Tribolium castaneum: one gene and its partner. The protein of the gene in region 1 interacts with the protein of each later gene in a biochemical or structural test. Links are inferred from orthologs where the notes say so. Each region holds a gene or a part of one and is shown in the gene's direction. Other genes may lie near its edges.

Region 1 (5,620 bases):
ATATATTATATACAGCTGAACTTTTAAACCTAGCTAAAGGTACAAAGGTACAAACTTTTGCAGAAGACAGACATTTGCAAATGAATTTTGCTCCAAGTCATTCTCTTACTGCTGAAAATTCATAATCAAAGTCTTCCCTAAGGATTTTAAGATTTACTAATTATGTGTTATCTCACATCTGTTTTTAAAAAATGTTAATGTTGCTCTCGAACTTCTGTACTTTAAATTATAATATCTTAAATTTTAAACTTCGGAAAAAACTTTCAACCCTTGTGCTTTCGTTTATAAATTATGGACTCATTATTATGACAAACAACAAACATCTGTCGTCTGCAAAAAATTCAAAACAATTGCTACCGCTTTATTTTTGGTTTGAAGAAGCATGATTATCATGTATCAGAAAAAAATTAAAGACCTAGGTTGGTTAAAAATTGATAAGCTTTTTTCATGTCATTTGTCTGCATTTATTTTTCGCTTATTCTTAACATCGACATCTCTCTATCTGATCATTCACATATAACATAGTTTGAACTCAATTCGGAAATAAAATTAACTAGACGCCCTCTGGTGATGACTTTTGAACTATGTTGAAAACAGTAACGAAATTTTCGTAATTCCACATTTAACTGACATTTAACGAATTGTTTAACAATTTTGCGTCTATAGTGTTATATACTTATATTAGAGAGTATCACGTACTTTTGTACGTGGTGGTAAATACTAGTTTTGATCTTGGTCTGCGGTATAAAGTGTTAATTGTTGGAATTTGAAAGTGGATAAAAAGTGAAAAAAAATTAAAATTTGATTACAAAGTGTTATTAAACAGTTGTCTAATTGCAGACTGTAAATAATGGATCACAGTGAACACAAAGTTGGGCTCAAGAAACCAATAAATTAGTAAAGTGTGTGAATTTTAGGTTAGAATTTTCCACTGACAAACTCATGAAATACTTTGGTAAGTCTACAAAACTACAATTAAGATTAACAACTGCTGATTCATTTAAGCATAAATTGTTCCAAAATGTAGGCTTTTCAATGTCTTTGTAATAATTTTCCAATAAAGAAAGTGAACTAAACAGTCATTCCTTATTCGTGTTTTCCTCGTCATCACTAATTTGTCAACATTTGTTTCTTGCACCAAAGACACAATAGTCATTCCGCATAGGCAATGCAATAATTGGGAAGCCTCAAAATTCGTACAACGCTCAAAATATCCGAATAAACATTTTCCCGCTATTTATGGTTACTGTTTTCGACCTAGTTCAGTGGCGCCCCCAACGATAATTTTACTTCCGAATAATAAGAAACTAACTCCAAAAAATTGACAGATTATGACGTAAGTTTAGTTGAGACTTTTTGTAACGAGGCTATATTTTTGACGATATTTTCCGAACGGTTAGTCGTAGCGACTTGATTTTTGCAAATTTGTATTCCGCCGGTCATTTTACGTTAGAAACACTCAATCATAAAGAAATAATTTCCAAAAATTTACATATAATGATGTAAGCTTAGTTGAGACATTTTTGTAACGAAATCATATTTTTGACGATATCTTCCGAACGGTTAGTCGTGGCGATCTGGTTCTTGCAAATTTGGATTCCGCCGGTCATTCTACGTTAGGAACACTTAATTATAAAAAAATAATTCCAAAAAATTAACAGATGATGATGTAAGTTTAGTTGACATTTTTGTAACGAGACCATATTTTTGACGATATCTGCCGAACGGTTAGTCGTAGCGATCTGATTCTTGCAAATTTGGATTCCGCCGGTCATTCTACGTTAGAAACACTCAATCATAAAGAAATAATTCTAAAAAAATTTACGTTAGAGATACAACATATACATACATGGAAATTTTTTATTCTGGAGTCAGTGTTTACAATAAAGAGTAAAACTAAAAATTTGTTTTTAATAATTAAGTTTGCTCAACTGAATTGGCTGTTTGTTGATAATAAATGCAAAAGTTTTTTTCTGATCATTTTTTGCCTCTCATCTTAAAGAATTCTTTCTAATTTCTTACTTATTAAGAGACTGACAATGGTTTTTCTTTTAGTTTTTAAGTATTTTTTCATTTCAAGATTATTTATAAAGTTTATTTTAATTTTTTATATATTTTTTATTAATTTCATTTTTTTCTTCGAGGTTAAGTTGAATAACTTCAAGCTAGACTTCGCTTTCCCATCTGTTCTTATTGTTTAAATTTATTCAATAAAGGCCCTTTTTTATTATTTTTATTGTTACTATTATTCGTATTATTATTATTATTATTATTGTTATTATTATTAATTATGCATTAATATTCTCTATAGCTTGTTTATTGGTTTACCAACAATTTAGTAATTTTTATAGTTATAGAGGACCCCAATTGTGTTACCACATTTTTTGTGGCTGCGAGCGAGAGTTGAAGTTTTTTCTTTTAATTTTTTTGAGTTTAATTCAATCTTCAATTGTGATCCAACTCTGATTTGCATTTTTTTCAGATTCAGATGCAGGAAGAGGGCGACCCGGCTTACAGCTACAGGGGCCCTTCGGGCGCCCTTAAAGTGATACGAGGACGGGGCTGTGAGGAGAGCTTTAGGGCCGCTGTGGACAAACACATCGTCGACCCGAACCACCAATCGGAAATAAGTAATTCATATCAAATTACCCTTTTGTTTTTCTAATTGGTTGATTTTCAGGCGCAAAGAAACACTGGTTGCTCGACGGCCCAATGGAAGAGCGCGAAGTTGACGGTTTTAACAACGTGAGAGGGGCCCCACGTCAATCCTCCCTTAATGCGGCCCTTGACAGTAAACACAAGGCGGGAAAAAAGAAACCGAGTTTGTTGAAAGGCATCGGTTCAATGTTCCGGTTTGGAAAACACCGGAAAATGGAATTTGCCAACATTGATATACAACACTACCATCCGACCAATGAGTTTGACCCCAATGTTAATAACAATCAACAACAAGCGGAACAGAATTACCAACAGCAACAACAACAACATGAGAATTCTACCCAGGAACAACAACAACAACAACATCAACAGCAGCAGCAACAACGTGTGCAACAAATGATGCAACAGCAGAGAGAGCCGTTGTATCAGAGGCACGGTTTTGTGCACCGACATGCTGAACAGGTCCAAGTGATTCCGGAGAATTCGGTGGCGCCACCTATCAAGTACCGGAATCACGTCACCGTTGATCAGCAAGGGCAGAGGCGGAAAATTCACGACCATAGAGTAAGACACACTTACTACCAGTCGGATGAGAGAGAGCCGATCTATGGACAACAAGTATGTAACTCTGGAGAAAAAGCAAAAAATAATAATTTTTTTAGGGGAATTTCGGGGAGTACGGTGGCAGGCCTGGCAGCCGGTCGGGAATCACCGATTCGGTCCCTTTCACCCACTACGTCAACTACAACGAGCTGCAAAACCACCTAAGGTAAGCCCCCATCAAAATAAGTCAAAGGTTATGGAAATATTGGGCCCCTCTCAGTGTCTACGTTGTGCACATTTCATTTGTTACTAACTCTGATTTGTTGCATGACATAACGTTCTGTTTTTTATGTTATGATGTTTATGTGTTGTCATTGTCATAATTGTATTTTGTCCACGCAGCCGTAAAGATCCACTATCTGACAGTCAGATAGTTCAGATGCGTCTGCAAGTTCAACAGCAAAGGTTAAAGGTGGAGGAAGAAAGGTATGCACTTTTTCCCTTTACACACTCTTGAGCTTTGCGACTAATTTTTTAAATTGCATGCACGCTTGCCGGTGATTGTGTAACGTGACTCTTGTTCCAAAAAATTAACACTTGAATAACGTCTGAAAATGTGATGCATGCAACCTAGTCCTCGAGTTTTAAGGCCAAAGGGGACCTGTTTTTACCCAACAGATGGCGCCATGTCTGATCACAAAAACATTGTTTTTCTACATCCAACGTGTTTATTAGGGTAAAGTGCACAGTTATTGAACAGTTAAGCAAAATTCTCAACTGGAAAAATCATTACCGCCTTCAGAATAAAGATATAGATAATTGCGTAATTCCAAAGTAAAGATTGAAATGTGCAGAAAATGCGAATTATTATAGAATGTTACAACCTGCATTCAATTTTTTTCCTCAGCATTTTTATTTATTAAGTGGAAAAATTATAGTTATGGACCTGTCCCGAGATGCCTTGATTTGCATGACAAAAGTAGAAGTAAAATCAAAGTTTGTTTAATTTCCAACAAAGTTCCAAATCAAATCTAATGCTTAATTAATAATTCACGTCATATAAATCATCTCGATCACGATCACTCTTAGTCATTTTGTCCTTTATCAGTTTTTTTTTCTTCTTCGTTAGTTTTATCACTTTTTGCTTCTATTTCTTCCTCATCGACATATATTAACTTATCCAGCCAACATTCACTATTGTCATCCCTATAATAGGGATGCTGTAAGTCTTGATTTTCATCATCGATAATGTGTTCCTTGTGACATCTGGGAACACAACGGTTGTGAAAGAAGTGTTCATACTTCACAAATGTTAGGAATAACCTTCCTTGTATTTCTTTTAGGCAGATTGAGCAAATAATTTTTAATTATACAGATTTCTGTTGTTTAATTTCCTCTTTCGATGTCTTTTTCAATTCGTATCTTCTTTTGTTGGTCCTTTTTTTTTTCAGAAGTTTTTGGATGGGCTAAGTAATTGTGTATTCACAGCTGACTAGATTTTTCTTGCTGTGTAATATTAGTCTCTGTATTCTTTATTCTTTCATTCCGAAGTACTATGATTTTTGGGCTTACTTCACTTTCTAATATAATGCTATTTTCTTGATCATTTGGACACCCCTGTTTAATAACTTCATTCACAAAAAGAAAAACGAAAAAGGTAACTATGCTACCTTTCTGTTGTGCTTTCAGTAGGAGTTCAAAAATAAATTTTCCTAAAATGAAAATGCGCAAAATATAAATTTTATAGTTACTGGAGATTGACTGATTGCCGTCAGTGTAAAAAATTCAAATAAAATACATGAAATAGCAAGATACAAACTTACCTTCGGTCTTAGAATTGTTGAAGACTTCGAAAAAAAATAAGATACCAAATAATACAACAGTTCCTGTGACATAGTTCAGATTATCACTTGCGTATACAGGGTGAGTCAATAGTGGGTTATTTCTGACATGTCCTAAGATGCAACCAAAAATACTAATTGCACTTCCTACTTGGATACTTTGTTTGATTTTTCAAAACATTAATTAAATCAGTATTGTTGGTTGCATATTTAAAAAATTCAGAACTAACCGACTATTGACTCAGTCTATCGATGTTTTCTTTTTTTTAACAAACATTTTATTTCCACTGGTGGTACTACAATTTATTTATATGACATGTAGATCAAACTACGTCTTTTCAAAAAAAACAATAGAAGAAATAGTTTACGCTTCATATCCTACTAATATGAGTTCAATAGCTATCCACTGTCGAATGTGTTTAAACCATTTATCTTTTGATTACAAAAGAATAGCTTCAATTAAAAAGTATTGGAAAACTGTATTTAGTTGCAGTGTGAAACAGTCTCTTTAGATCACTCTGTATTTCCGCTTTTCTTACACTCGCGGCAAATACTGTAATAATTAAATAAATATTTGT
Region 2 (6,857 bases), on another chromosome or scaffold:
CTTTGTTATTCTTTGGCGTGTCTTCACATCAGGCTATTGTTGGCTGGTAATGAAAAAAAATCACTTCTAAACATTACAATTGCATTTTAATAAAATAAATATTTGTTGTAATGGAAAATGTGTTGTTTATCTAAGTCATTTAGTTGTTTCGGTATCCAATGTTAAATGGGCTAATGCTACAAAAGTATTATCATCTGATTTTCTTTTGTAGCTTAATTATTATTTATTTACGTATCTAGTCGTTTTTTTATTTAAATTTTTTGTAAATCCTTTGACGGAATTGAACCAAAGTCATTAATCATTATTCATTATGCATGGATTACGATTCTGTAATTAGAACTTTCTTACCAAGTAACTAACCTCTGTTTAAAAATCAGCGTTTAAAAAAAGGTTTCTTTGTCAAAGGTGCCTACTGCTTAACTTTTTAATAATTCAAATCGTAAATGTATTTTTAGAGGTTCAAACTTAAGACACATAGTAGTTTATTATACAGGGTGCTCAAAAACCGGCGCACCAACTCTGGTATATGGTAGAAAAAAGCGTACGTAAAAAAGGAAAAATAGTTAAAAATATGTGTATTAAAGTTACCGAATAACGAATTTTAAATAAATGACAACAAGGCTTAAAATTGCTTTAAATCTATTAAAAAATAATCTGACGTTTCTTTTTGAGAACTACCAAACAGTTGTCAAAACTTACACAGGAGGAAAAACCAGACATTTTGACAGTGTCGAGGAATAAAAATAATTATTCATCATGTGTTCTGGATAGATTATTTAATGCAAAACATAAAAACATTAAAAAAATAATGAAAACTGAAGAAGTTAACAAAATAGGTTTGTCGATCCAATTTTACTTTTTTAATTTAAGATTTGTTCTATTTTCCATTTGTTGGTACCCCAGTTTTTGAGCGTCCTGTACAAGTAAAGAAAAGTTGCCCATTATTTGTGAATGATTTCACAGATAGTGCCATTTTTTCTTTACGTGTAGGAGAATAATGCAACGTTTTCTCTTATAGGTACATTGATAAATTTTTTTAATTAATTTTCCACCAATAAGAATAAAAAAATCACCAAATGTTTATTATATTATATCGTAATTAAAACTTAGTCATAGTCCCTCAAATATTTTTTTTCGGATTTTAAAAATCAAACATTGAACCTTCTGTTTCTTTTATGAGAAATCATAGATTACAATTTTTATTTGGTTTGTTTATAGAAAAGATGCGTATTATATTATGACTTAATAGTTCCTAACATGAGACACGGTTTTTTTTAGAAGTTAACGTTTTTTCAAAAAAAGGCGCCACTGACCTATATTACCAATAATGCATTGTGAAATCCTATGTCAACAGAGAGGTGGTAGTACTGGAAATTTAAGTAGAAATTTTGGTTTTTTTAGCATTTTCGGATTAAGAAACAAATTTTTGGTAAATTCAGATTTAAATTATTGATTATGATGTAGAATGGAATTTAGTGTTTGATATATCTGTCAAAAAAAACTTATCTGATAATTAATCGTGAATGGATTGTACTATAATAGAAGTACAAAGTGTCTATAAATGAATGTGGGATCGTAATAGGTATTAAAAGTTTGCCGTTTTTTTCAAGAAAAAACAAACAATGTTTGTATATGATAAAATTAGTTTTACTGGTTGGAAAAAATTTTCAGAGTACAAGATTTTTTTTCAATTTTCAGAATTTTTTTCTGAATTAAATAAAACAATGACTGCATTTTAAAAGACTTTTTTCTCTAGAGCCCGAGTGGAAGAATGTTTCCAGTAAAATATTTTTAAAAATGTTTCATAAAACGGTTGTAAATAACTGCGGAAAATGGCTAAAATTTAACTATTTTTTGCTCCCTTAATCATAGTTTTGAACATATTTTTAGGCAACCCATTCGCAATATATTTCTTTGCATATTATATTTGATAAAAAATAAGTTTCATCCGGTAAACAGATGGGTCCAGGACGATCTTAATTCGTACCTGAGACTATTAGCACATCTAAAAATTTCTATTTTTTGATGAAATCAATTTTTTTTTAATTTAAGAAACTGCTAAAGATTGATATTAAATTTAAAAATAATTACTTATCACTGTGTTAAAGAACATTTAATGTGAATCACAAAAATATCAAAAAATAATGAAAATTGAAGAAGTTAACAAAATAAATTTGTAGCTTCATATTTTTTAAAAAACGTACCATTGAATCGGTGCGCCAGTTTTTGAGCACCCTTTAAAACCCTTGATAAGGATGTCACAAAACTAAAATAATAAATAAAATAGTGATACATAAAAATATATAACGTATAAAAACAGTTTTACATTCGACATAACCAAAATCTCCAGATGAGCATAACGACACAATTTATATTTTCTCCTGAGGATGACCACATTGCGGTTAAAACATGTTGTGTTAGAAAAAAAGTTTAGTGTGTCGGGTATAAAACTGAATTTTTGTTAATCGCCAAGAAAATCCAACAGAAGTTCATAATATAAAAACATAAATAAATAATTAAATAACATAATAACATATAAATAGTAATAAATGAAATAATACTTAATGAGCATTCTTAGGCATCTTCCTGACTATCGAAAACAACGCGGTTTAACCCAAAAATCTGCCTCTGGCCTTTTGAGGAATTTATTCTACTTCAACGACTTTTCGAAAATTATTAGAAACTTTATGGAACAAACGCCAGAATTTTTTGGCAAAAAATACCTACGCTTATCTGCAAAAATAATTGTATCATAAAATACACGAGCAGTTCCCCTATTTTCGCAAAATACAATGTAATTTTTAAAGATACTATAAAAAGAGCCATAAAGTTATTTTTCAAAGTATAATGATATCTTTCACAAGCTGTGACGCGGTCTGCACATAATGAAACCACTGGGGTCGTAAAATAACCCTCTGAGAAATATTTGACCATATCATTTCAAAGTGAGGAAATAAACGACTTCTTAACTGATTCTTGAGGTATTATATTCAACTCGATTACGATTTATGCAAAAAATACAAAATGTTTTTGTAAATATTATGCACTCATGCCAATCTCTTCGCTTTATCGTAGATTTAATTTAAGATTACGCGTCACCGCGCCGTCGATTAAGGGTCGCAATTAGGCAGTAAAGCTCCCCCTCTTCCACAATTTCCGTTTTTTGAGCGTCCTTCTCTCGATTATCCGCAATTATAGATTTTCTAATCAGGAAACAAAAGCTCCGGCTTCCGAACAAGCACCTGTCTGTTGATTTCCCGAATCCGGGAAAAACCACCACAAGTTATCGGCCGTTTGACCTCAATCTTGAGACAATCGATACGGCCATATGGCGAATTTTCAACTTTTATGCCGCGATATTAACATTAATAACGAATTCCATTCAGAACTTCCTCCCACCGAAATTCAAACAACGTTATCGCATTTGTCCGAGATAATCGTTTATCTATAGTTTCACCTGAAATAGTAACGTGCGTGTTGTGAAGATGGGTCGCGTTACGTGAATTTTAACATGGGGGACGGTAAACCCTGGTGGGGCAATTTTAAAATATGGAAAGGGATGTCCGATGCTGCGATTCTCTACTCCCTTCATCCGACTTTGAGCTATGACGCGTCCTCGGTTTTAGCGGCCGCGTTCCCCGGAGGTTCGTCACAAAACACGAATTTATTTATTTTTTTCATTATTGGCCAGAGGGGTGATTTGCAACCCCTCGAACGTGGTGTCACCAATTGGGCGAATTTTAGTTATTTTGTTGTGCTACCTGACTCGCTCTACTGATTAGTTTTATCTTATCTATTGGCTAATTCTCGCCGATTCGATTTTACTCCAATTATTCGACAATCATGGAAGAGACTAATTATTTATTTGAGTCTATTTTGTCCACAGTTTTCCCGAATGTGCCGCCACAGCCCGGAATGCCCTGTCAAGGGGAGGACAGTAAGTATTATTCGTAATTATAGCGGGGGTGGTGTTACAAGTTCGCCAACACAAAAAATATGTTGGCAACGCCTACGGTTAATTCGTTTTATTACAAAGGCGCGATTTTCAAACATTATCTCGATGTTACTGATAATTTTTTGTCAGTGTTTCTCGATTTGAAAATGGCGTTTGCGAAATAACAATGCTACGAATCTTGCAATACATTTTGATATGTAAACGGCACCATAAGGCAAAATTTGGTATAAAAAAACCTTGCTTTATGTGGTTTTGAACCGATTACTCTTTTCAGGGAGTATTTACAGGAGGGGTGCTCGTCGTTGGAGGAAACTTTACCGTGTCAATGGACACATCTTTCAGGCCAAACGTTTCAATCGAGTAAGTTGAATATTTGGTCAAAACTATAGGAAAAATAATTAATTGTTTAGAGAGCCTTTTGTGCATTTTGCAATGACCGGATTTGGGGTTTGGGGCGACAAGGTTTCAAGTGCATTCAATGCAAGCTCCTCGTCCATAAAAAATGCCACAAACTAGTACAAATCCCCTGTACAGTCGACCTAGTTGAACAGTCTATCAGAGAAGAACACAACGGGGAATCGCCTTTAGTAACAGTAACCTCCAATAGTGAAATTATATCGGAAATACGCGACAGGGAGTACCCCGAACCGCCACCAGATGTGACAGGTAAAAAGTTACTTTTTGCCCCATTTCTACCAAAATTAGGCTACGAGAAACTACAGAATTTGGATATTTTTTACTGAAACATAACCTCACTTTTTTGTTAGTTTTTCCGTAATTGCATAATTTTGTTTTGCAGATTTTTTCTACAATTGGGTTTCAAGTATTATTGAATTGCCAAAAATGGGGGACAAGTGGCGAAATTTTGGCTTTTTTGAGTTTATTATGAACACAACATAACCTCACTTTTTAGTTGCAATTTTTTCATACTTTTTATGAATAATTATTAATTATTTTTATTAATAAGAAAAAGTGACAAAGTCAGCTATTTCTAAAATTTGTTATAATAACTTGTAGACCATCATTAATTTCATTAGTTTCGCGGTCATTGCTCCACAAGGGAGTACCTAACAAGTTAGGCTACATCAAGAAAATAATTGTAGGGACATGAAAGGGAATTTTGTTCAGACTGAACGAGGGAGGTCTAATGAGATACTGTTAAATCAGCTTATTAGTAATAAAGTATGATTGTAGCCTCTAGGTGGTTGGTTACACACCGACACTATCGTATCAGATGTTAGGGAAAATAGAGAAATTTTAAAAAATTATGTTGTATAGCTTCAAGGTTAGCAAGGTTATTAGATGGGGTTCCAAATCAAATTGGCATACTCTAATTCAGACCTAATTAGCGCATTAAAGAATAAAATTAGTACATCCATTTTGATGAAATCTACAGCGTTGTAGAGAATCATTTCACTAGTCCAAATGCAGAAACAAATTAAAGATTTGGTGCTTTTCCGCAAAGATACATTGGTTTGGAGGCGCACTTCAGGTGCACTTAGAATTTTTCAGAGTGAAAAATAAAACACAAATTGACAGTTTCTGTAAAAGAAAAGAATTATGTGTTAAACTAAATCGTTTTGAACTAAGATAAGCCAATAGAAACTCTCAATTTGTGATGTATTTCACTCCAAAAAATTTAAATGCGCTGTTGCAAAATTTTACTATGAGCTGATATTTATGGTGTAGATGATTATGAAAAATAATAATGTAAAACAATTTTTCGAAAAATTTGCTGAATTTTGAAGTAAAATAATCTTAAATCTTCGTAATTTTTCTTAAAAATCAAACGGAAATTACCAAAATTAAGGATCTTCAAAGCAGTGTATTTTTGTGGGGAAGCCCCCAATCTTAATTTTTTTTCTACGTTTGGACTACTGAAGTAATTTTCTACAATATTCTGAACTCAGAATTCGCCACTTTTGAGACACTCTGTATAAATGAAACCTAACATCTCATAGGATTTATAAAATCTGTTGTCTGACAGATTTGTTTCTTTACGGAAGCAAGTCATAACATAACATTTATCTGTATTTAGACTTAAACTATTATTTTCCGCTTATTCATTGAGTTGTATTAAATCATTAAACATTCGTAATCAGGTATATCTACAGGGAATTTCCAAGAACAGTTTTAAGTCATCCACAAATAGTAATTTTTCTAGGGAAATAACATTCGTAATGCATCCAAATTAATTAAAAATAAGGGTGCGACTAGACGGTGAAAAAGAGTCAAACGTGAAATTATTTTATGAGATAGGTATGATGTCAGTAAATCATTTAATGAAAATCCTACTTTAGACGTCTATTTGCTTGTTGCAGTCTTATAGTTTTAGAAACATATTGACTAAAACAAGCTAAATTTGTGGTGGTCGATTTTATTTCAGTAAAAGGGTCTTATATTGGTGTAATATAACATTTTTGTTATATTTGTTTGAAGATTATACTAAATGTTTAATTATGAGGTTAAACAACTTATAGAGGTTCTGTGAAGATGTATACACGTTAATTATGTCACTAGGTATGTCTTTAGCTTCAGAAATTAAAGAATTTCTGATTTTTTTAGAGCTTGCAATGGTTGCAGTATATTCATACAGACCCAGAGGTGCGTGCACGCTCTATAACGTTTTTTCTATTCAAGCTATCAATTTATTTTTTTTAAACGATAGGTCTTACAATAAGACACGTTCTAAAAATATTTTAGTCTGCATACAGTGTATTTCAAAATAAAATACCTAACTAAGTTCTGTTTTTTTTTAATGGAAATCTCAATTTTTTATAATTTTTTTTTGAAATCGTGACTAAAATGTCGATATCATGTACTCGGGTTTTATAGAATTAACTGTTATAGTTTTTAACTTACGTCATTTTTACAAATAGACCCCACAAACCTTATATCTTCT

Evidence for each region. The genes of interacting proteins can lie anywhere in the genome.
Region 2: of the proteins of partitioning defective 3 homolog B (region 1) and aPKC, one has a biochemical effect on the other in vitro, tested with the Drosophila melanogaster proteins (2 studies listed by BioGRID). The link is inferred for Tribolium castaneum from reciprocal best matches to the Drosophila melanogaster genes baz and aPKC.

The regions. Positions count from the first base shown.
Region 1 is NC_087395.1:16,313,933-16,319,552, reverse strand, and holds part of partitioning defective 3 homolog B, read left to right. Parts: intron 1-2,482; coding exon 2,483-2,630; intron 2,631-2,680; coding exon 2,681-3,276; intron 3,277-3,320; coding exon 3,321-3,427; intron 3,428-3,603; coding exon 3,604-3,687; intron 3,688-5,620.
Region 2 is NC_087399.1:9,783,888-9,790,744, forward strand, and holds part of aPKC (atypical protein kinase C), read left to right. Parts: intron 1-3,886; coding exon 3,887-3,937; intron 3,938-4,229; coding exon 4,230-4,315; intron 4,316-4,365; coding exon 4,366-4,621; intron 4,622-6,857. UniProt on the Drosophila melanogaster protein: Serine/threonine protein kinase which is required for apico-basal cell polarity in the germ line as well as in epithelial and neural precursor cells, for epithelial planar cell polarity and for cell proliferation.